Diceros bicornis minor: one gene and its partners. The protein of the gene in region 3 interacts with the protein of the main gene of each other region in a biochemical or structural test. Links are inferred from orthologs where the notes say so. Each region holds a gene or a part of one and is shown on either strand. Other genes may lie near its edges. The genes, in order: CCNT2, CTDP1 and CDK9.

Evidence for each region.
Region 1: the proteins of CDK9 (region 3) and CCNT2 form a complex in vitro, tested with the Homo sapiens proteins (4 studies listed by BioGRID, with this or other methods). The link is inferred for Diceros bicornis minor from reciprocal best matches to the Homo sapiens genes CDK9 and CCNT2.
Region 2: of the proteins of CDK9 (region 3) and CTDP1, one has a biochemical effect on the other in vitro, tested with the Homo sapiens proteins (3 studies listed by BioGRID). The link is inferred for Diceros bicornis minor from reciprocal best matches to the Homo sapiens genes CDK9 and CTDP1.

What each region holds. Positions count from the first base shown.
Region 1 is NC_080749.1:20,537,892-20,545,140, forward strand, and holds the start of CCNT2 (cyclin-T2), read left to right. Parts: upstream 1-4,244; 5' UTR 4,245-4,268; coding exon 4,269-4,426; intron 4,427-5,273; coding exon 5,274-5,355; intron 5,356-7,249. UniProt on the Homo sapiens protein: Regulatory subunit of the cyclin-dependent kinase pair (CDK9/cyclin T) complex, also called positive transcription elongation factor B (P-TEFB), which is proposed to facilitate the transition from abortive to production elongation by phosphorylating the CTD (carboxy-terminal domain) of the large subunit of RNA polymerase II (RNAP II).
Region 2 is NC_080755.1:67,832,416-67,840,301, forward strand, and holds the start of CTDP1 (RNA polymerase II subunit A C-terminal domain phosphatase), read left to right. Parts: upstream 1-4,831; 5' UTR 4,832-4,943; coding exon 4,944-5,248; intron 5,249-7,886. UniProt on the Homo sapiens protein: Processively dephosphorylates 'Ser-2' and 'Ser-5' of the heptad repeats YSPTSPS in the C-terminal domain of the largest RNA polymerase II subunit. This promotes the activity of RNA polymerase II.
Region 3 is NC_080767.1:35,786,316-35,793,625, reverse strand, and holds the start of CDK9 (cyclin-dependent kinase 9), read right to left. Parts: upstream 3,006-7,310; 5' UTR 2,835-3,005; coding exon 2,395-2,834; intron 1,927-2,394; coding exon 1,845-1,926; intron 1,056-1,844; coding exon 965-1,055; intron 606-964; coding exon 439-605; intron 315-438; coding exon 143-314; intron 1-142. UniProt on the Homo sapiens protein: Protein kinase involved in the regulation of transcription.

The DNA of each region.
Region 1 (7,249 bases), on a different chromosome or scaffold from region 3:
AACTAGACTTGAATTTTGAAAAGACCCTTTGTCCCTAAAACAACATTGCTCACACCCAGAATCTCGAAAATCTCTCAAGAAAATCACTTTTTCAGCCTTTTCTCTCCTTTGTTATCTAGTATTAGTACATTCACGCATTGCTTAACAACAGGGATATGTTCTGATAAATTTGTCCTTAGGAAAACTCGTCACTGTGCAAATATCATAGAGTGTACTTAAACAAACCTGATGGTATAGTCTACTACACACGTAGGCTATATGATACTAATTTTACGGGACCACTGTCGGACATAGTCTGTCGTTGACCAAAACGTCATTGTGTGGCACAAGACTGCACTTTTTCAAAATATACCCCAGAAAAAAAAAAATCCCATCACCATCAGATTCCAAAGGACAACCATTCACAGCCATCCAAGCATTTCTCTTCCTTGTACAGTACCCTTCCCCACATTTTTGATCTCTCCTAAAAAGTAAGCCAGCTCTGATTCAACTCAATTTATATTACCCAACCAGAATACTTAAACCTATGTTCAAGGTAATTACTTAAGATTAACTTAATTAAAATAAATACCCACTTATTTTGTTTAACTTAGAGACTATTCTGAGGCTTTTTCCCAATCAAAATTGAACAAAAGTGAATGGAAGTTGCCATTTCTACACAACACTGCTCACAACCTAATAAAAAATTTAAAGTTTATTTTTGAAAAGTCAATACATGAACATGTTAGAAAAGTTCAAAACGATCAAATTCAACCTATGTCTCCCAGAAGGAACTAATTTTATCTGGTTTCTTTGTGTGTATTCTTGCAAAGATAGTCTATGATTATAAAAGTATTCAAATGTACATATTCCTTTGTTCATTTTACCCAAACAGTAGCATCTTGTTTTTTTTTCCTGCTTAATACCTTAGTGGTCATTCCACATGTAAGCTGCTGCCTTCTTTTTGTAACAGTCTATTTTAAGTTGATAACTTAAATATGGACACACTCTAAAGCTCTACATTTTACTCCCTCCTCCGTCACCACATTTTATGTTTTGGATGTCACAATTTACTTCTTTTTATCTTGTGTATCCATCAACAAATTATTGTAGTCATAGTTATTTTTACTACTCTTGTCTTCTAATCTTCATACTAGCTTTATAAGTGGTTAACCCACCACCTTTACAACATTAGATTATTCTGATTTTTACTACATATTTACTCTTACCAGTGAGATTTATACTTTTACATGTTTCCCTTTTACTAACTAGTGCCCTTTCATTTCAGCTTAAATAATTTCTTTTAACATTTCTTGTAAGGCTGGTCTAGTGGTGATGAACTCCTTTAGCTTTTATTTGTCTGGAACATTCTTTCTTTCTCCAATTTATGAAGGACAACTTTTTCAGATAGACTATTCTTGGTTGGCAGTTTTTTCTTTCAGCACTTTGATGCCTTCTTGTTTTTAATAGCTGAATAATATTTCATCACATAGACATACCATAATCATCCAATCCTCAATTCATGGACAGTCATGCTTCCAATCTTTTGCAATTATAAATTGCTACTGAGAATATCCTTATGACCTATGATGTGGAACATCTTTTCACATGCTTATTTGCCATCTGTATATCTTCTTTGTGAGATGTCTGTTCAAATCTTTTGCCTATTTTTAAATTGTATTCTTTGTTTTCTTCTTATTGAGTTTTAAGAGTTCTCTGCATATTTTGGATACAAGTCTTTTATCAGATATGTGTTTTGCAAAGATTTTCTTCTCGTATTTTCACTCTCTTAACAGTGTCTTCTGCAGAGCAGAGGTCTTTAATTTTTGCTTATGAAGTCCAACTTAATTTTTTCTTTCATAGATCATGCTGTTGCTGTTCTACCTAAAAACTCATTGCCAGACACAAGGTCACCTAGATTTTCTCCTATGTTATCTTCTAGAAGTTTTATAGTTTCGCATTTTACATTTAGGGCTATGATCCATTCACAGTTAATTTTTGTGAAAAGTGTAAGGTCTGTGTCTAGATTGTTTTTTGATTTTTTTTTTTGCATATGGGTGTCCAGTTGTTCTAGTACCATTAGTTGAAAAACTATCCTTTCTCAATTCAATTGCCTCTGCGCCTTTGTCAAAGATCAGTTGACTATATTTGTGCAGATCTGTTTCTGAGATCTCTATTCTGTCCCATTGATCTATTGTGTCTATTCATTTGCCAATATATGCTGTCGTTGCCAACACATACTGTAGCTTTGAGGTTAGGTAGTGTCAGTCTAATTTCTTTGGTACCATGTTGGCTATCTTGGGTCTTTTGCCTTTCCATATAAACTTTAGACTCAATTTGTCAATATCTATAAAACAACTTGCTAAAATTTTGATAGGGATTGCATTGAATCTGTAGATCAAATTGGGAAGAACTGACATCTAACCATATTGTTTTCTGATCCATGAACCCAAAATATCCTTCCATTTATATCTTCTTTGATTTCCTTAAACAGAGTTTCGTAGTTTTCTACATATAGATCCCGTATATATTTTAGATTCATACCTAAGTATTACTTTTTGTAAACGGTATTGTGTTAATTTCAATTGTACATTACTGATATATAGGAAAACAATTGACTCGTATATTAATCTTATGTCTTACAATCCTGCTATAATCACGTATTAGTTTTGGTTTTTTAATACTTGGAGATTTTCTACATAAACAATTGTCATCTGTGAACAAAGTTAGTTTTATTTCTTCCAGCCCTATCTGTTCACTTTTTGTTTCCTTTTCTTACTGCATTAGCAAGGAATTCCAGTACAATATTGAAAAGAATGGCGAGAAGGGACATCCTTGCCTTAGCAGGAAGGCTTCTAGTTTCTCACCATTAAGTATGATGCTAGCTGTAGGGTTTTTATAAATGTTCTTTATTAAGTAGAGGAAGTGCCTCTGTATTACTAAGTTGCTTCAAGTTTTTATTATGACAGTGTTGGAGGTAGACACTTTATAAACGTTGCTTTAAATCAATCTATCCTGGAACTTCCAAGCAGCATAAGATGTGAGGCAAGCAAGGTAGGTAAGAAATGAAGTTTAGACAGTTGTTCATAATAACTGCCTACTGCAACAAAATCAATATCTCAGTACTGTAGTGTAATGGGGACAGGCAGAGCCCCTAAACGATGACAAAAGCCTGGAGCTTTAATCAGGAACTCACTTAAAAGTAGTATCTGTTGCGTTTTTTTAAAAAAAAAAAAGTATGTCTGCCTATACTCTGTAGTCTTTGGCAAATAGTTAAAATTTAAAACTTAGTCGGCTCAGACCCAGAGACTGACTCCCAGAGTGGAGCTCTGCGGTATTTTCTTGCAGGGACGGGAGAAGGGGTTAATCAACAAGTGTGTGCGCGGTTACTGTATTAAATACTAAAGATAAATTTTTTACTCAGTTCCTCTTTACTATCTGCTTCTCCTTAACCTTCTCTTTTAAATCATAGCCTGGTTTAAAAACACACTACCGATAGGGACTAGAAATTCAGTTCTAGCTACTAATTGGGTAAGTAACCTTAACCTCTAGCAAGTAACCTTAACAAATAAACCCACGGTCTGCCCAGTTGTGGGATTCAAACATGATAACGTAGGAAAAAAGCACTTAAGTGCGGCACAAACATGGAACGTTCCTATGCACTCTTTCCCAGGAAGGTCCTTCCCAGAGCTGCCCGTTGGGCGGAGGCTGTTCCTCAAGGACACGGGAGCCGAAAACCACGACACTGCGCGGCGAACCAACAGCAGGGAAAAATGGAAGCTGTGGTGTGAGACAAAACAGGAAGGATTTTCTCTTTTTAAAGGGCCGCCAGACTCCCAGCCCAAGAACTCGCCCGGATTTCAGAGCCCACGCCCAACCCACGGCGCAGCCGCGTGCCCCCCTCTCGCGGGACCCGACCCCAGGCCAGCCTCTTCCCTCCTCTCCTCCCCGCCCCTTCGCCCCGCCAATCCTAGGTCCGGCATGCACCGCGCCGACCTTTTCCTTCCGAGACGACCCCCACCTTCGGCGCCTCCAAATGACAAACTGCGCGGGGCATTGTGGTCCCGTGCGCGAGAGCGACGCAGGGGTCCGGAAAAAGAAAGCAAAAGACTAGGGCGAGCCGGGAGGGCGTTCCCCCGCGCATGCGCATGGGCGGCGGCGGGGGTGAAAAGGGGCGGTGCGTCGTCTACGGCGAGCGGAGTGGGGCGGGGTCGTGCGGCCTTGGCGGGGAGTCCGCGAGCCGGGAGGGGAGGGGGGAGGGTGAGGGAGCGGGCGGAGGAGGAAGTGTCATGGCGTCGGGCCGTGGAGCTTCTTCTCGCTGGTTCTTTACTCGGGAACAGCTGGAGAACACGCCGAGCCGCCGCTGCGGAGTAGAGGCGGATAAAGAGCTCTCGTACCGCCAGCAGGCGGCCAACCTCATCCAGGACATGGGACAGCGTCTCAATGTGTATCCTTTCCTATTCTTGGCCCTCCTCCGCTCACGCCCTGTCCTCTTCACTACTCGCCCGGTCGCCGGGCCTGGTGCCCCGTGAACATGGCGCCGCCACCTCGGCCTTCCTGGGCTTTGGCCACGCCGTAAGGGAAGGCAGGCTCGGGCTCGGGAGGCCGCGAGCGGCCAGCGGAGGAGGGGAGGAGGAGAGGCGTCCGGGAATGCGGGCTGGGAGGCTGCGTTGTGTAATCTGTTTGGGGCCGCGCGTGGTGGCGGCGGGGGTTGGGAGTGCCGCCCAGGCGAGAGGGGGAATCTTAGGGATTATCGCAGAAGAGAGTCGGCTGCTTCGACTTCCCCTCGTCCGAGAAGGGGTTGAGAGGTAGGAGGGTTCGCGGTGCTGAAAGGCGTTAAGTGTGCTCCGCAGCCTTTCCCCGCGCTGCTCGCGGGTTTGATGGCGGTTCTCTTGTACCTTGGGAGCGCCCTGGACGGAGGGCTTTTATGTTCTTGGCGTGGTTTTGTATGGGTGTGCGCGCGCGCGTTGCAACTGTGTGATGTTGAGTTGAGTCAGTCGTAGCCATTGATAAAGCCTTCCTGGGCTCGCTTAATAGCAATATTAGAGTGGAATGCTCAGCAGTTACTATTATTACTGTTTGTTTGGCGTCGAGCCTTCTCTCTCCCTCGGCACCCTCCGTCACAGCCCTGCGGGTTTTCGGGGTTTGTTTTTGTTTTGTTTTGTTAACAGTTTTTGGTTTGGGTTTGAGTTGGAAGCATTGAAAAAAAACTGTAGGTTGGGAGTTTTCCATCAAAATTATTTTGGAAATGAGGTCTTGTTCTTCTCAGATATTTCCTAAATGATACGTTCCAGCTCTCAGCTTACAATAAACACTGCGATTGTTTATATGCACAGATTTTATATGCACCATTCTTTCACCAAATTCAATAGAAATGTAAGTACTATTTTATTGTCTGTTTTTACTACCACAAAATCTTAAGGTAAATCGATACGCAGAAAGAAGTTAGTTGATCATTGATTTTATTGTTGGATTTAGTGTTGTAAGTTAACAGTGAAGGTAATACGCATGATAAATTTTTTGATTCAAATGCGGGGTTGTTGGTTGGTTGGTTTATTAATTTGTGATGACAGGCTGCTAGGCGCTATGTTAGACTCTGCCAGGTCTTTTGAGCTAAAAGATAAAAGAAACGTTTCTCTACTCGGAATTATTACATCAGTGTTGATTTAAGTTTTTCATTTAAATTAATCAAACTTTTGAATAATTTCAAACTAATGTACAGTGTAATTTAGGCAAGCCTAGTCATTCTGTTGTGTATCTTAATCTTATTCGACTTAAATTGTTTCAAATATTGTGAATTGGGCTTAATTTAATTGCAGTATTCTTTTGAAATGACCCTTTGAAAGAGTTGAATGTTCAGCAGAAATATTTCATTTGCTAACACAATTTCTTAAGATGTCAGACGTTCCTGTTGATCACACTTCAGCATTAATTGTCTACTTAAATTTTTGGTGATTCAAATGTCAAATCTTGCCTCAAACATGCTATGTCAGAGTTTGAGTATGTATATATAGTTTTGAAGTAAAACTTACCCTCGAATACTAAGGTACTGATTTTGAACATAACCTGTAAATGTTGACATACTGAGTAGCGACGTTCAGTTGAAATTTTTATTTTAAGTTACGAAAGATGTAACTTTGTTCTTTTCACAGTAACATGCTGTAACATATTGTCTTGCATCTGTTAACAAAGAAAATTGTGTATTTAGAAATATTTAACCCCATCTTAATTCTCATTATATTTTTGGCTCTTTTTATCACAGCTATTTTTAGAATGCAATTCTGAAAGGTGTGTGTAGAAAAATAGACTGTGTAAGACTATGCTATTTGTGGATTGTCATTAGGACCTTTTTGCTAAGAAAACAGTCTTTGAGAAGGTCCTTGAAATATTTTCTTGGATTGGACGGAAAAGCTTCATGGTTTAGATTGATTCCTATTTTAATCTTTTCTGATCATAATTCTGATTTAGTTTATCAGATTAGCATGTAAGTTTGTCTTGAACAATATGTATTTTTGTATACGTTTTGGTCTCTTGTGATCTCCATTCCTTCTACTCTTTCTCTTTTAAATCTGTGTGGTTTTTGCTTTATTTCCATTTTCCTAGTTATTTCTTGTGCACAGAACTTAGGTCAATGATAGTGTTATGGAAGAGAGAGGAAGCCTTTTTGGTAATAACATTTAGATTGAAGGAATGAAATTTAAATTGTCTCCAAAGGAAGTAGTGAACTAATGGATACTAATATAAATGTGGCTTTCCCTAAGCAGCCCTTGAAAATGTTGGTCAAATCACAGGTCAGAATAGTTCTGGAAATTCTTGATGTGGGTACAGATGTCCCATTTACAGATGTCCCTGTAGAAAAGTAAGAATCAGGCTTACTTTTCTACTTCTGGTAAATGATCTCACCACAAAACTTCATTTTTGTTTTTGAACCCTCCCTCCTTCATAATTTGTCTCTATGGCCTGGTTGGTGTACTTTAAAACAAATTATCTTATTTTCAGCTAAAATTCACAGTTTTAACTTTAAATTGACTGGTGAAGCCCAGATTGCTTGGATTCTAACTTTCACTATTTTATTTAAATGCCATCATTCAATAAAAAAACCAGAATATTAATTTTTAATACCCTACTTAGTGTCTTATGTGTGTATGAAGGTCAACTTCACCATTTTACATTGAGTCATTATTAGGATAATTGAAATCTGCTGTTAATTTCTACTTTGAAAAGGAACCTTGTACCCTTCATATCTAACCTTTGTCGTCTTTACCTTTGC
Region 2 (7,886 bases), on a different chromosome or scaffold from region 3:
AGAACTTCTATTTATCAAAAGATCTCATAAAGAAAATGAAAAAGACAAGCCAAAAATGGGTAGACGATGTGGGTAACAGATAATAAAGGCTCTGTATTCAGAAACCATAAGGAACTGCCACAAATCCATAAGACAAAAGCCCAACAGAAAAATGAGTGACGAGCATGAACAGGGATTTCACAGAAAACACAAGGCAAATAAAAAATAGGAAAAGATACTAAGCCAAAATGCCTATTAGGAGAATTCAAAGTAAAACCACAACTTTTAATTTTAACACAGATTTCCACCTAGATTGGCAGAGATTAAGGAGTCTGATAATACCAAATTGTTGAGGATGTGGTGGGAGTATAAACTGAGACAACCATCTTCAAAACTAATTTGGTGTTCATTATCTCATAGATCTGAACATGTGAACATCCTACGACCCACGGTTGCACACTCAGGTCTACACCCTCAGGCATTAACTCCTGTGCCCCAGGAAACACGCAGGATGCTCACTGCAGCACTTCCCATAACACCACAAAGTGAAAACAATTCCAGTCTCCATCTACAAGAAAATGGACAAATACATCCTGCTACATTCATGCAACAGGCTATTACACAAGAGTCACAATAAATAAACTATAATCAAATAAAATAATAAGAACTTGGATACATAGTGATGAACAAAAAAAGCCATTCACAGATAAGAAACATACATACGATGCATTTTTATAAACGTGGAAAACAGGCGTAACTAAACGATAGCTTTGTGTGTACATAGACACACACACAGCAAAACCCCATATAGAATAATGGCAACCAGGAGACTGAAGCTGGCGGCCACGCTGGTGGGGAACTGAGAGGACAAGATGGGATGGTGAGGTAGTTATAACAACACTGGTAATGTTCTAAACTGTAGGTGGGCTGACGGGTTCATTCTAGGATCACAGTCTTTGGTATGTACACAGTTTACGTAGTTTTTAAAGTGGGGAGAGAAGAACACAGGGAGAGAGAGATCCGAGTAAAGCTATGAGACGTGACCACCGGGCAGAGATGTAACTGTAATCCTCACCCATGTCTTTCCCCCATCACTTCTGTTTCACAGAAACATTGCCCCTACTCCCTCAAGGACCAGCTTGCTCTTCACGTATTCCTGGCCCAGCCTGGACCTTCCAACACAGCCCCTCCCTACTGGAAAAGTCAGCCCTTGGTCTCACCTGAACGCTCCACAGTGGTTGACCCACTGACCACTCCCTGCTCGCTGCTCCTCCCCCTTCTCTGCCTATGACATTACTGTAGCCACCTCCCCACAAGAGAAGCTCCCCTCACTTAATGTCATGTACACTGTCCCCCCAGAACCCCCAGGAACCTGCTCACTGGCCCTGCTCTCCCACCAATGGCTGACTTGACTACATGCCCAGGCAACTCAGACATAACAGATTCCAAGGGGACTCATCTCTTCCCAATGTGTCCTGTCTCCCTTTTCACTAACCCATCCAACAAGTAATAAAACCCACTGGTTAACTCAGAAACTCTCCCTGCGACCCTCTCATCTACTGAGATAATCCCAGAACTGGGACATCTACTTCTGGGCTCTCTCTGCCCTTAGCTGCTAGCTTTGACTTAAGCACAGATTGGGTAAGCACATATGTCAGCTCAAAAATTTTTAATGACTACCCGCTGCCTACCAGGGTGGTTCTCAAACCTTGATACACATTAGAAGAACCCAGTGAGCAAAACTCCTGATGCTCCAGCCCCACCCAACACCAATTAAATTAGAATGAGGGATGGAACCGTGGTATCAGTAATTTTTCAAACATCCTAGGCCTGTTCCTCACATTTTTTCCACAAAGGACTCTATTAAGAGAACGCCCAGAACCTCAATCATGATGGATGGTCCTTATGCCTAGAATGCCCATCTCCTCTTCTCCTCATGCCAAGACCCCATCCACTTCTTCTTCCAGGTAGGATGACGTAGGTAGAAACCAGCTATGGCTCCTGCTGCAATAACTTGGGAAAAATAGATAAATGCAAATATCAAGACATCAGATAGGTCTGGAAAGTAACAGGACTGAAAGAAGATTCTAGAGGAAAGAACCATTCCTAGACAAACTTCTTTCTCTCAGTGGCCCTTTCCTTCTCTAAGGCATTTGATGAGTCTGAGCAGTCTGACCTTGAGCTTGACAAAGACGGGGAGACTGGACTAACATGAAGATAACTCCTCTGCTTGGGCTTGCGCGACAGACTGGAAACAGATGAGCCCCAGACACCCGGTGGCTTCCTCACAGGACATTTGCTTACTACTAGGGACACATGCAGGATTGGGGGTATCGCTGGGTTGGCAAAATGGTGTGAAATCTCCTGCAGTTGGAAGTGATTCAATTCCCACTAACAGGAAGGGCCCACAACAGCACACAGGAAGGCTCACTTCTGAGACATCTGAAACCAGGAGTGGACTGAGTCATACCTAAGACTTGAACACAGCCCTGCCCCTAATCAATTCTTGATGGAATGGAGGTGATTGGCCCTTCACCCTGTATGCCTACAGAAGAAAGGCTCAGGCATCCTGTTCCTACGCTTCTTCGGTACAGCGTCTGGCACACTAGTAAAAACAATCCCAACAGCTGCATCCCGTGTTTCTCTAGAAGTCCTGGGGAGAGCACCGGGCCTCATGGGCTAGTGCTGAAGGGAGCGAGCAGAACCAAGGAGTGAGTCCTGAGGATCTCACTGGGCAGCAGCTGGGAGGAGCCAAGAAGGCTCTCTGGAGCATTGCAGATCCGCCTCTTGAGGCTTCTAGACTGTTTGGGGTGACTTTAAGGAGGCGAGGAGCTGGAAAACTTGCAATAGCCAGTGAGCCTGAAAAAATTTGTTCTTTGTGACAGCTAGAGTGACCTGGGCGTGGTGAGAGGGACTGAGCTCCTTTTGTCAGCAAAAGGATTCAGGCAACAGAAAAAAACAAAACGCCAGCACCGCAAACAGGTCAAGATAAGGCCTATACAGCTAATGCGTGGCCTTCTGGCGTCCATTAGGATTGTGAAACACCAACCGCCCCCACGGCAACAATGTGAAAACTGTGTTGCTACTTCCTAGGGAGCAGGGTCCAAGTCACACTACTAGAAGATACATGCTTTCACTCAACAGCGCCAGACTGTGTTAACCCCAGAAAATGATGCTCCTTTGAGTGAGGGTACTTGCTTCCCGGACAACCAGAGGAAAAACCAGCGACAACTCTGTCTTGCTGGGCAGTGTGGCTTCCTTCAACACCCAGCGAGCCTGGACCTGGGCTTTGAAAAAAGCTTCTAGAGAAGGCTGTATGGAGGCTCAGAGGCGGGAGTAAGAAAGCGCTGACGAAGAAAATCCTCTTCGAAGGGTCCGGAGTCCACGAGGCCCCCATAACACCGAGATGAAATCATTTCTGTTTACCTGGTGTAGGTCTACTCCTATTTTCTACTTCCTCTTGAGTCAATTTCCGTATTTTGTCTTTCTAGGAGTTGTTCCCTTCACCGGTTACCTGATTTGTTGGCACACGGTCGCTCATGACGCCCTCGCGCTCCTTTCCACTCCTCTAAGGCCGGTAGTACTACTTCTCCGTCTTGCTATCCTGACTTTAGTCATCTGACGTCCCCTCTTCCTCCATCTAGCTCACGGTTTGTCAAACTTGCTCACGTTTTCAAAGCAGCACCTGCCGGCCTGCAGATTTGCTGTTTTCCGTCGCATCCACTCCTGCCGTGATCGTGACTCCTGCCTCTGCGCCGGGTCGTCCGCCGTTCCTTCCGACGCCGCAGGTCGCCGCGGACGCGCTCCTCGGGGCCCGCACCCGCGCGGCGCAGGCCGGGCGCGCCCGTCTCCCTCCCCCCACGGGCGCTCGCTCGCTCCTCGGCGACCGCGAGCCCTCCTCATCCCGAGCGCCGTCCGAGTGCCGCAAACCGGGATCCGGCGGCTCGCTTCCCGTTTCGCTGACCCGCCCCTCTCCCGCTCCGCGGGAACGGTCACCGGCAGCACACGGCCCGCCCGGAGAAGGCGCGCACACGGAGAGACGGGCGCCCCGGGCCCCCGCGCGTCCTCACTGACCCGCCCCTGAGAGCGCCGCCGTCGAAGCGCCACCCCCCCCCCCCGCCCGGCCGTTTCTCCGCGGCCTCCGGGCTCTGCCGTCGGGGCTCCGTCAGGATGCGCCTGCGCGTGAGGCTCCACAGGGGCCGCCCCGAAGGTGACCTTGAGGGCCCCGGGCGGCCCCGAGGGCACCTCTCCCCTGCGGGCCAAGGCGGGAGGCCGCCCCACGGGGGCACGTCGGCAAGGCGGCGAGGAGGAGGCCAGCGTCGGGGACCCCGAGACACTCGACCGCCGGGGCACATGAGCGACCCGGCGCCCTCCGCCCTCTGACCCTGGACGGCGCGCCGCATGCCGGGACCGCAGCTCCACGACGCCCGCGTTGTATGCCGGGACCAGCCGTCTAACGACACCGAATCTCAGCGCCTGACGAAGCCGTGGGACGGCGGCCCGCATTGCATGCCGGGCCTCGTAGTTCTCACGTCGCCGGGCCTGAGCTCGTGACGGGCGGGGCTGTGGGTCGGCGGCCCGGGTTGCATGCCGGGACCCGTAGTCCCAGGACGCCAGCGACCCTAGGGCAGATGGGGCGTGTGGTGACACTGTTCCTGCCGGGCCCACCCCGCACGGTGGTCCTAGGACGCTTCCGGTACTCGGGCCGGCGCAGCGCCTCTCGCGCCCGCGTGGGCGTGTGTTTACCCGCAGGCCCCTCGGCGTACGCGCACGTACGCGGCGTCACGTGACATCGCACGCCGTCCCGGAAGTCGGCGCGGGCCAGGGCGGCGGGTGGAAGCCGGTGCCGGAGCGGGAATCGCAGCGCCGCCGCCGCCGCTTGGGCCGGGTCGCCCGCCCGCGATGGGCGTCGGGCCCTGAACGCCCGCCCGCCGCCGCGTTTCCTCAGCGACCCGCCGGCCGCGATGGAGGCGCCGCTCGCCGGCCGCCTTCCCGCCGAGGGCGCCGCGCCGGCCGCCGTGGCTGAGGTGCGCTGCCCGGGCCCCGGGCCGCTGCGCCTGCTCGAGTGGAGGGTGGCGGCGGGCGCGGCCGTGCGCCTCGGCTCCGTGCTGGCAGTGTGCGAGGCCGCCGCGTCCGCGCAGCCCGCTGGGCCCGCCCCTGCCCGCGCCGGCGCCGGGGGTTGCGTGCGCGCCGAGCGCCGGTTGAGGTCGGAGCGCGCCGGCGTGGTGCGGGAGCTGTGCGCGCAGCCCGGCCAAGTGGTGGCCCCCGGGTGAGTGGGGCCCGGGGGAGGGGAAGGGAGGGGATGCCGGACCAGGAGAGGGGATGGGGCCGGGGTCTGGAGGGGGTTTCGGGCCAGGAGAGGGGAAGGGAGGGGGCCGGGGTCTGGAGGGGGTCTTGGTCCCGGCACTGGGCGGGAAAGGGTTCCCAGGACTGCAGCTGAAGGGGCTGTGCTCACTGTGCGTTTGCGGGTGTTTCTGAGGCTGGACGACAGTCACTGCTTGTGATTTTATCAAATGCAGGTGTTTGCCTTTAAAAGAATTCTTGAGCCGCCGAAGTTGCACTCTAGGAAACAGTGCGGTCGTTCCTCTTTTTCTGTAGTAGGTGCCTCCCTGTCTCTGAGATGCCGCGTTTGTAAGTTAAGAAAACTCGGGCAGCTCCACGCTTCTCGCGGTGTAAACTGGGGGGGGGGGAGTGCGTTTCTTTAGGTTTGAGTAAATCTTGTGAAGCGCGGTTGTGAAACCTGGCGCAGTTTTGCATCAGAGCTCGGGAAGGGGGTGCAGTCTCCCGCGAGTGGTTCAGGGCGACAGAATAGAAGCACACGCTCCCACCGTAGGGTCTAGCTCTCTGTACGTGCGTTTTAACCTCATAAAGGGCCTTTTTTCTTTTTTTGCAGTGTGTGAATCCGATAGTCTACCTGTCTGAATTTACCGGTGTTGTGCTCTGAGATTTGATTGATGTGTGGGCACAGGTGTGTGCCCGTGGCATGACTGTGGTTGTCATTGTCAGGAGCAGAAAGCCAGGGTAGGTGAGCGTTCCTGCGTGTAGTGATTGGTGCGCAGCTTTCCTCTGCGGAGCCACAGGGTGTCCTGGGTGTTCAGGCCCTTTCTGCCCACGTTGGCCCTCCTCTGGCGCACGGTGCCACTTGCTCTGGTCTTGGCTCCTCTCCCTGTGGCCTGCACTGATCCTCTGGCTGTTGAGCATCTGCCGCCTGCCCTCCACCCCCCAAGAAGCTGATGACCAGGATAGGATGGGAAAGGACTGGTCTTTATCTCAGCCCCAGAATCCTCATCCTGTGTTCCCTTTTCCTAGGTCATTGTTTGGAGACAGAGTCTGGGTCCTCAGCCTTCAGCTCAGGCACCCACGCCTACCCACGGAATGCAGGTGGGGTGGAAGGGGAGCTGCCTCGTGGCACCCTCCACCGGAGCCCCCTGCCTGGCTTCTCGGAAGACAGGGGCTCACTGTGCCGTACATGTGACACTCTGGTATGCTGCTGTTGTTATCTTGGAGTCAGATCTTACCTGACCATCGCTTGCGCCCTAATGAGCCCATAAACCCGTCAGTCCGTAAATTATGGAGGTGAAGCCCAATGCTGTGTGTCGCTGTGTAGAAAACCCTGAAGTGAAAAGCTCTTCTCCGTGTTGTTCTGTTTCTCTGGTGTAGAAGGCTACCAAGGCCCAGACAGGGCAGTGACAGGTCACAGCTGGTGAGAAACACCACATGCATGCTTTGACCCCATCAGCTGGTCTGGCCAATCGCAGGAGCCCAATGCATTGATCTCACCAATCAGCCAGTTCCCAGCTGTGAATAGTCTTTTTCTTTTTGTGTGTTTGGTGTTGAGATCCTGGGGTGTCTCACTGCGGTGGTCTGTCATGGGTTCCTTGAGAGCCTGTTGAGTGGCAGCGTTTCTCCTGGGATGCAGGTGTGAGTGAGTATGAGGAAGGCACCAGCACAGAGCCAGGCTTACCTGGCTGGAGCTGTTGTTGCCATCGTCATCGCTGTCATCAGCAGGATTCATCCTGACCGCATCGGGTTATTCTCTGGCAATGAACAGTTCTAGGAGCTTAGAAATGTTGCATCTGGGTGTAGTGGACATGATCACCCCATTACCGTTGCGACCTGTGGTAAGATTGTATGTGTTTGTAGTGCTTCATGCCATCAGGTAGAGGTAGGAACTATCCTTACTCCACAGACTGAGGAGGGGACTGAGGTCCCAGAGGTTTTGATGTGTGCAGCACCTTACCTTGCTGAGGCCTGCCTCGTTTTCTCCTCCGTGTTGCCCTCTCCTTAGGCCATTCTTCATCCGGAGAGTCTCAGTGGGGGCAAGTAGATAGAATGACGATTTATGTTTTTGTAATATTTGTGTGGGTTAAAATTATCTTGATTTGAAAATATCGTGACAGGGTACCATTTGTCAGAAACCAACTCTGTTAGTTATTAGTTTACCTAATGATGTCCGTCCTTGTTTGCTCTTTTGTCTGTCGTCATTGACTGGGAGATGCTGAAGTCCCCAAAAAAAAGGAAGATACGTAAAATAATCAGGGAATGAGTTACCATCGAGATGGGTAAGGAGGAGGCTGTGGGAGCGTCTTTGTTCTCAGTGGGCGTCTGACCAGCTTTGTCTGTGCCCCGTACCTGGTTTGTCTGCAGGAAGAAAGTCTGCCTCAGCCAGTCTGGGGTGAGCGCCGCCGGAGAGCAGGAAGGAGGATTGCTGGATAACGTGAAGGCCCAGCCGTCGCAGTATTGCTGTCTCCCTTGCTCTGTAGACTGAAGAATAAGGAAAACAACCTGCGATTAGTACCCGGTTTTAGGGTTCTAAAATTAGGTAGTGACGGTTTTTATTAAATTCTAAACACAGTTCAGTCAGTGCACTAAAGTAATCATGTAGAGAAGTCTTGCCTTGGAGTCAG
Region 3 (7,310 bases):
CACCAGGAGGGCCCCTTGAGCCCGAGGGCCTCCTGAGACGCAATGTCCCAGGGCCAGCGGCTCAGGAAGCCCTGGCAGTGGGGGGGTGAGGCCGGGTAAGTGCCCAGTCCCTGCCCCCCTCTGCCCGCTCGGGAGTCCTCACCGAGCAACAGCTCCGGGGGCCGGTACCAGAGCGTCACCACACGGTTGGTATAGCGGTTGGGCTGGCTGTTCTTGGCCAGGCTGAAGGCCCGGGCCAGCCCAAAGTCTGCCAGCTTCAGAACTCCATCACGGGTGATGAGCACATTAGCCGCCTTCATGTCCCTGTGCAAGATCTGCAGGAAGCACAAGGTTGAGGGCTCAGTCAGGTTACCAGGGGTCCTTTAGCCACACCCACCCAGCAGTGAGAGCAAAGGTCAGCCCAAGCCTTGGCCTTTCTTCTCCCACTCTGGTCCCCACCTTGTTCCTGTGGATGTAGTAGAGGCCGTTGAGCAACATCTGCATAACCCTCTTGATCTCAGACAGCGTGAACTTGACTAAGACGTTGCTCAGAAGCCCAGCAAGGTCATGCTCACAGAAGTCAAACACCAGGTATATACTGCCTTTGCAGCGGTTATAGGGGGAGGCTGAGGCAGGAAGAATCGGGGGAGGGGAGCAAGAAAAAGAAAGTTACGAATCCCACATGCAACTCATTTTCCCACAACCAGCTCCTACCCCCTCCAACCAATGGACACCCGGACATCCGGCTGTGCATTCCTTCACTGGTAAAGTATTTCCTGAGTGCCTCCTCTGGGCCAGGTGCTGTGGCAGGCCCTGGGGAAGCACCAGCTACGATGAAAGGACCAGAGAAAGCAGTCACAGTTGGTATGTCTGGGTTAAGAACAGGCAAGTGAGGCGTGTCCAGTTCCAACTTTGCAAACACAGCCTTAGGCTGCAAGGCTCATTTTCTCCGTCTGAAAAAAGCGATGAAATCCAAGAGACTTACCTTTGGTTCGACAGATCTCAATCAAGTTGACCACATTCTCATGTTTTAGAAGCTGGAGGATCTTGATTTCCCGCAAGGCTGTAATGGGGAACTGCAGGGGGAGAACGACAGGAGGGGGTCACAAGTGAGTGAGCACATTACAGACCAAGGAACCAGCCATGAGATCAGTCCTCAGGAGCACAGGTTAGGAGACAGAGTAAAATCACAGGCTCTGAAATCAGCTTTCAGATGCCTTAGCTGTAAAATAGGTCTAAGATCGGTATGCACCCTCAAGGAGCTGGTTTAAGACAATGAATTCAAATAGCAGTACTTAACACGAACACTTTACTACTAATCACTAAATGCTTCATAGTTTCTTTAACCTTCAAATTTTAGCTCTATGCCTGTGTTTAACTTGCTGGCTGGTAACAAAACCAACAAAAATAACTATTAGAAAAATTTCCTTGCTAAGAAGCAGGTCTCTGGGAAGCTGGACTAGAGCTAAGATGGGAGAGAGGGGACACAACCAGGTTACTCCTTTTCAATTGAGCACTAGTTATCCTTTTAAAGGTACTGCATGTAGTTTTTTTTATATTGAACAAAACTGCATGCTATCAAGTGTTTAAAGGCCACCTAACTTCAGGAACCAAGCTGCACTCAGTGCAAGCATGAGCTCCCCCTCCTGGCCCCAAGCATATTTACCTAAGAATGAAATATCAAATGTTTTAAAATGTTTGAATTAAAAGATTTAATTTGGAAGTCAAATTCCCTGGGATATGGAAATTCCCGAACTGCCGCACATACAGTGAATCTCAACGTGAGAGTTCTCGAAGACGCTGGATGGAAACCCAACCCCGTGCCCAGGAGAGCTGGCAGGCCCGCCGTCCCGACCCGTACTCACCCCCTCTTTCTCGTTCTCCATCAGCACCTTCTTCAGAGCCACTTTTTGGCCGGTCTTGCGGTCCTTAGCCTTAAACACCTCCCTGCAGGCCGAGAAGGGGACCCAGGAGGGCTCATCAGGCCGCTTCCGCAGGGCCCGCCCCTCCCCCCGCAGAGGAGGAGAGCAGGAAAGAAGGGACTCCAGGGCGGGGCTGGGCCGGGGACCCAGGGCGCTCAGCTACCTCACCACCCGGTATCTGCGGCCCCTCTCCGAGCCTCTACTTCCTTCCCTGAGTCCCTTCTCCTCACCCGGGCGTCTCTCCGAAAGATCTCGCTCCCCTCACGGGCTCCCCTCTGCAACCCCTCCCCGCCCCCCAGCACGGGCCTCAGGCTCCTCCCCGCCAGCCGGCTCTGTCAGGCTCCGGCGGGCTGCGGCGCGGCCTAGCGAGAGCAAGGCACAAGCCTGGGGCTCGGTGGCTTCCCGACCACCTCGGACCTGGCCCAGGGCCTCCCGGCGTCAGCCCTGAGGGGTGCAGGCCCAGGGCTCCCGGTCCCTCGGGGCTCAGCCTTACCCGAAGGTGCCTTGGCCGATCTTAGCGAGCTTCTCATATTTGGACACCTCATCACAAAAAGGGCACTCCACCGAGTCGTACTGCTTTGCCATGGCCGCCTCCAGCGCGCCGCCGCCGCCCCCAGCCGCCGCCGCCGCCGCCGCGCCCGCTCCGGGTCCCGCCGCCGTGCTCCAGGCCCCTCCGCGGCCGCGCCACTTCCGCCTCCAAGGCCACTTCCGGCCTCGCGGCGCCGACCCCGCCTCTTCCGTTCGCCGCCCGCCGCCAGGCCCCCTGGGACTTGTAGTTCCCGGGAGGCCAGGAGGAGCCGGAGCTGCAGAGGCGCCTCCGCCGCCGCCGCTGCCCCCGCCTCCGCCGCCGCCACTGCTGGCGGTGGCCCCTATCGGGGGCGCGGGGAGCCGGGGCGCCGGGGCTGGGGCTCGGGGCGGTGCGTCCCGCTGCATCGGCCCGGGCCGCTGCTGCTGCCGAAGCCGCTGCCGCTCTGGCGCCCGATCTGGGGCCAGCCGCAGTGCCCTGCTCCTCCTCCTCCTCCGACGGCGCCGCCTCCGCCGGGCTGCGCGGGTCGACGGGCGGGGGGGCGGCCCCCGAGCCGCGGCCTGGGGGCTCCCTGGCCGGGCCCGGGCCCGGGGCGGCCGGGCGAGGGGGCGAGACGGGAAGAGCCGACGAGGAGGCGGCCCGAGAGTCCGGGAGGGGGCGCGTTATAAAGGGGGAGGTGCCCCGGCTTCGCCCTCCCCTCCCCCTCCGCCCGCCCCCTCTCTCCTCCCTCCCACCCTCCGCGGCCGCACCTGCCGCCGCCGCCGCCGCCACCGCCGCCCGCCAGCCCACTGTCCGCCGGCTGCCCTCGGCGCGTCACCGCCCGCGGCCCCTCCTCCGCTTTCGGAGGTGGGGCCCCGCGCTCGACACCTGGCTGCGGGGCGCCTCGCCGCGTGCCTCAGTTTACCCCCGCACGCGAGCTGCCGCAAGAGGCCCCTTCCTCTCTGGTTCGGAGTGCCCCCCCCCCCCAGCCGACAAGCGAAGGCAGGAGGCGCCAAGGGAGCGGCCTCCGGTCCTGAGAGGGAGAACGGCCCCCGCCGCCGCCTCGCCTCCCCCGGCCCCAGCCACCCGCCGTTGACATGGCAACCGACGGCCGCCAGGGGGCGCGGCGACACTGAAGGCGGCGAGGGAGTAACGCGCGGGTCTTCCAGCCCTGGACCCCCTGTTCTCTGGGAGGCAGGGATGAGACCCACAGGACCCCGGTCCCCGCCGAGTTGCGCCCGGATCAGTAATCACAAAAATAGCTAGCATTCACTTAGCACCCCTGTGTGCTCAGGAAGTGCTGGGCGTTCCGCTGAATCCTAAATCAACAGCCCCATAGTCAGGATCACTAACCCATTTTACAGATGAGGACATTGAGGCTCAGAGAAGCAAGGTCATTTGCCCAAGGTCACACAGTGACAAAACTGGGACTCGAACCTGGTCTGTCTGAATCTGTAAAGGATTCTCCCGACTCAGGTTATTTACAGTCTGGCCAGGAGTATAGCAGTGGTGTGTTTGAGGCCTGTGGTCCTTATGCCAGGCACCAAGCCCACCATTCACCCATCTCTTCTCTGACCCTGTGCCCCCTTCCTCTACACCAACCCCCAGCATCTTTCTCATACCTTCCTGGCTCCAGGATCCTCTCAATTCTTCCTCCAACTCTACTCAACAACCAGCCCCCAGCAAAGCTGTCTTTCCTACCTCCTCTGTGACCCTTCAATCTGACCCTCCTTTCCAGTCCTCTGCTGATGGATCCTGAGTCCTGGCCTCCCCAGTCTGGCCTCTCCATCTGTCCCCCTCACAGCACACTAGATCATTCTGAAGTGGAGTCTACATGTATTTCCCTCCACTGTCTTGAGGAAAAACCAAATTGTGATAATTGAAGCTCTTTCCAGCTCCCTCCCAAGCTGTGGCCACCAGAATCTCCCTCCTGTTTCCTAACTCCCTGGCCTTCCCGCCTTCAGGGCTGTGCTCTCTGATTGCACCCCAGTACCCTCTCCAACTGCGGGAAGCCCTTGGGGTTTCCTCCCAGCTCTTACCCTACATGGCTTTGCCTTGAAGGATCTGGTGATCCTCGTGTCCCCAGAGACCCCGTTCTGGGGGAGGGTCCTGCTAGGGAGGGCCTTGAGGGTCAGGTGAGGAGCAGGGAGCCCTCTCCTGAGGACTGTGGAGCCAGCGAGGGTTTTAGGCAGTTGAGTGTGGTGTCAGGGAGTGCTCTGGGGTCAGCTTCATGGGTACACTATTAGAAGCAGAGAGGCCATTGGCTAAGTTGGGGGTGGAGAGGGCAAGGAGGGAGAAAATAACAATAATTGTAGTCATTACAATTTATTGAGGGAAAATAAATGGTCTAAGCTGTACACTTAGCATTTCATGGGAATTATCTCAATTCTTAGCCATACGAGGTGGGTACTATTACCACGTCCATTGTACACGTATAGACGCTGAAACTCAGAGGTGACATCACCTGACCAGGGTCAAACAGCTGGCCAGTGACCGTATTGGTGTTTGAACCAGGTCAGTCTGGCACAAACCCCAAGCACTTACTCATGTCAGGACCCCGCCCGTGGAGGCTGGAGGTGGAGCTGGGGCACAGCTAGGGCGGAGCACCGCTGGGCTTGGTGTCCTGGCTGCCCATGGGAGGTGTGGGAGGGGATGGTAGCACTGGGGGGTCTGCTATGGTTTTTGGTGGCTTCTACCCTGAAACTTTCAGGCTGGGGCCCCTGCCTGTTTCCCACGAGCCTCCCTAAGTCACATCCTGTGGGCAGACGCCTCAGCAGAGGGTTCCGGTGGTGTCATCACCTCCACCCTGCCATCCCTGGTCTGAACCCCAACATCCGCCAGTCACTTCCCCTTGGAGCCTCAGGCCCTCAGCCCTGCCCGATGGAGGGAGGCAGGCAGGAGTGGTCCGGAGCCCTCCGGAAAGCTGCCCAGGCTGCCCAGGCCTGGGGCCCAGATCGCCCACGTGGAAGTGAGAAGTTAGGTCCTGGCCAGAGACAATTTCTCTCTGACTTTGACATCTGATTGGCTGGTTCGGGGGAAATAGTTCCTGCCCCATGGATTGGCTAAGCTGGCAAGGCCAGGCACCTGGCCAGTACTCAGTAAATGTTTGCTGACTGGCTGGCCAGGCTCTGAGAGAGCGCCTGGTCCTGCTGCCATTTAACACGTAGGGAAACTGAGGCACGGAGTACGAACGGGAGCCACTAGCCAGCTGTTTGACCCTGGCCTGAACTCTCGATTTTCCTCCCCTGAGCAGAGACAGGATGGGGCATATGGAGGGAAGGAGAAGACAGGCTCATGGGTGGGCTACTCTTGGCTGCTCATACATCTGGGGGACAAGGGGTCACTGGATAGAGATTCAGGACTGAGCATGGCTGTGTGATGCCCTGAGCCCTGTAACACCATGATGTTCTGCCCACATCAGCCAGGTACTGACTCTGTGCCTGGCAGTGTTGATATGTGTCATCCTCCTGGAACTTTCCAGCACTCCTGTTAGGAGGTTGCTATTATTGGGCCCAAGTTACAGAAGAGGAAACTAAGGCTCAGAGTGGTAAAGAGGCCTGCCCAAGGCCACACAGCCAGGAAGCTCTGCAGCTGGGATTCAAAGCCAGGTCTCTTTGCTCTCAAAGCCCAGGGTCATTTACCATCATCCTACACCGCCCCCAGGACAGACAACTGGGTCGAGCTGGGGAAAGGCATCGACTGAGACCAAGAGCATAGTAGGCACGGGGCCAGTGTGGATGCATAAGGCTAGTTTCTCTCTCAGGGAGCATGAGGTCTGCTTGGAACATGCCATGAAAACAAAGTGTCTGTAACGTGGATGACACTCTCAGTACAAATGTTTTATTTCATCGCTACAGGATCATGTGAAGATGTTGTATTTGTTCCATTTTACTGATGGGAAAAACGAGGCTCAGAGAAGTGATGTCACTTCCCCAAGGTCATGCAGGTGGGGTCTGGACTCAGGTCTGCCTGGGCCAATGCCTTTGACTATGAACTTGAAGGTCTCCAATCCTAATGGTTCCTGGCCAAACCAGGCAACTGAGGCATAGACTGAGGGAGAGGGGCAAGGACGGAGGGGACAGAAATCAGAGCAGGGTTCCTGGGGACACTATGGCTCATTCTAGACCTGCAGAGACTCCATGGAAGCAAAAGATGGAGCCAGTGGAGGGAAGAGTAGCATCCAGGTGTGGGTCCAGCGCAAGCAAAGACCTGGGGGCAGGAAGGCACTTGTGTGTTCAGGGCTGCAGAGCGTGGACTGGGCTGGGCTGGCCTCCAGCGCAGGCTGAGGAGGGCCCGCGGGACAGCCACCCGCCAGCAGGTCCCCAGCCGCACTCCCAACGGCCACTCAAGGCAGCACAAAGGGGGCTCTCAGCTCAGCGGAGCCGCCACACTGAGCCCCATTCATCCTCCCAGGGACGCGGCAACTGCCCTGGCGCCCGGGCCAACGGCAGGGCCAGCCTAGCACTGACAAGGCACCTCCACCACGGCAACACAGCCGCGCCGGGGCCGGGGCTAGGACTCCCGGCTCTCACGCCATGCGCCTGCTCCGGGGTGTTCCTGGCCAGTGCCAGTCTGCTCCTGGCCTGAACCACCCCCATCCCTCAGCAACAGCCGCCGTTCCCTAGTCCAGGGTTTGCTGAGGCCACAGTGCACTGGCCTGGGCCAACATTTGCTCCTTTCATCCTCCCAGGAAGTGGGGGCAACTGTGACCCCATTTCACAGATGAGAAAACTGAGACCCAGAGAGGTAAAGTCTCTTGTGAAGGATCACAAAGCAAGTTGTGAGTGGCCCTGGCTGGGAAGCTAGCCCAAGTCCCTGGACTGCCTCCTGGGAAGAAGCTGGGGGACCTACCCCTTGCCTTCCACTAAGAAGACCCCCAGCTACCACCAGGCCACAGGCCCCTC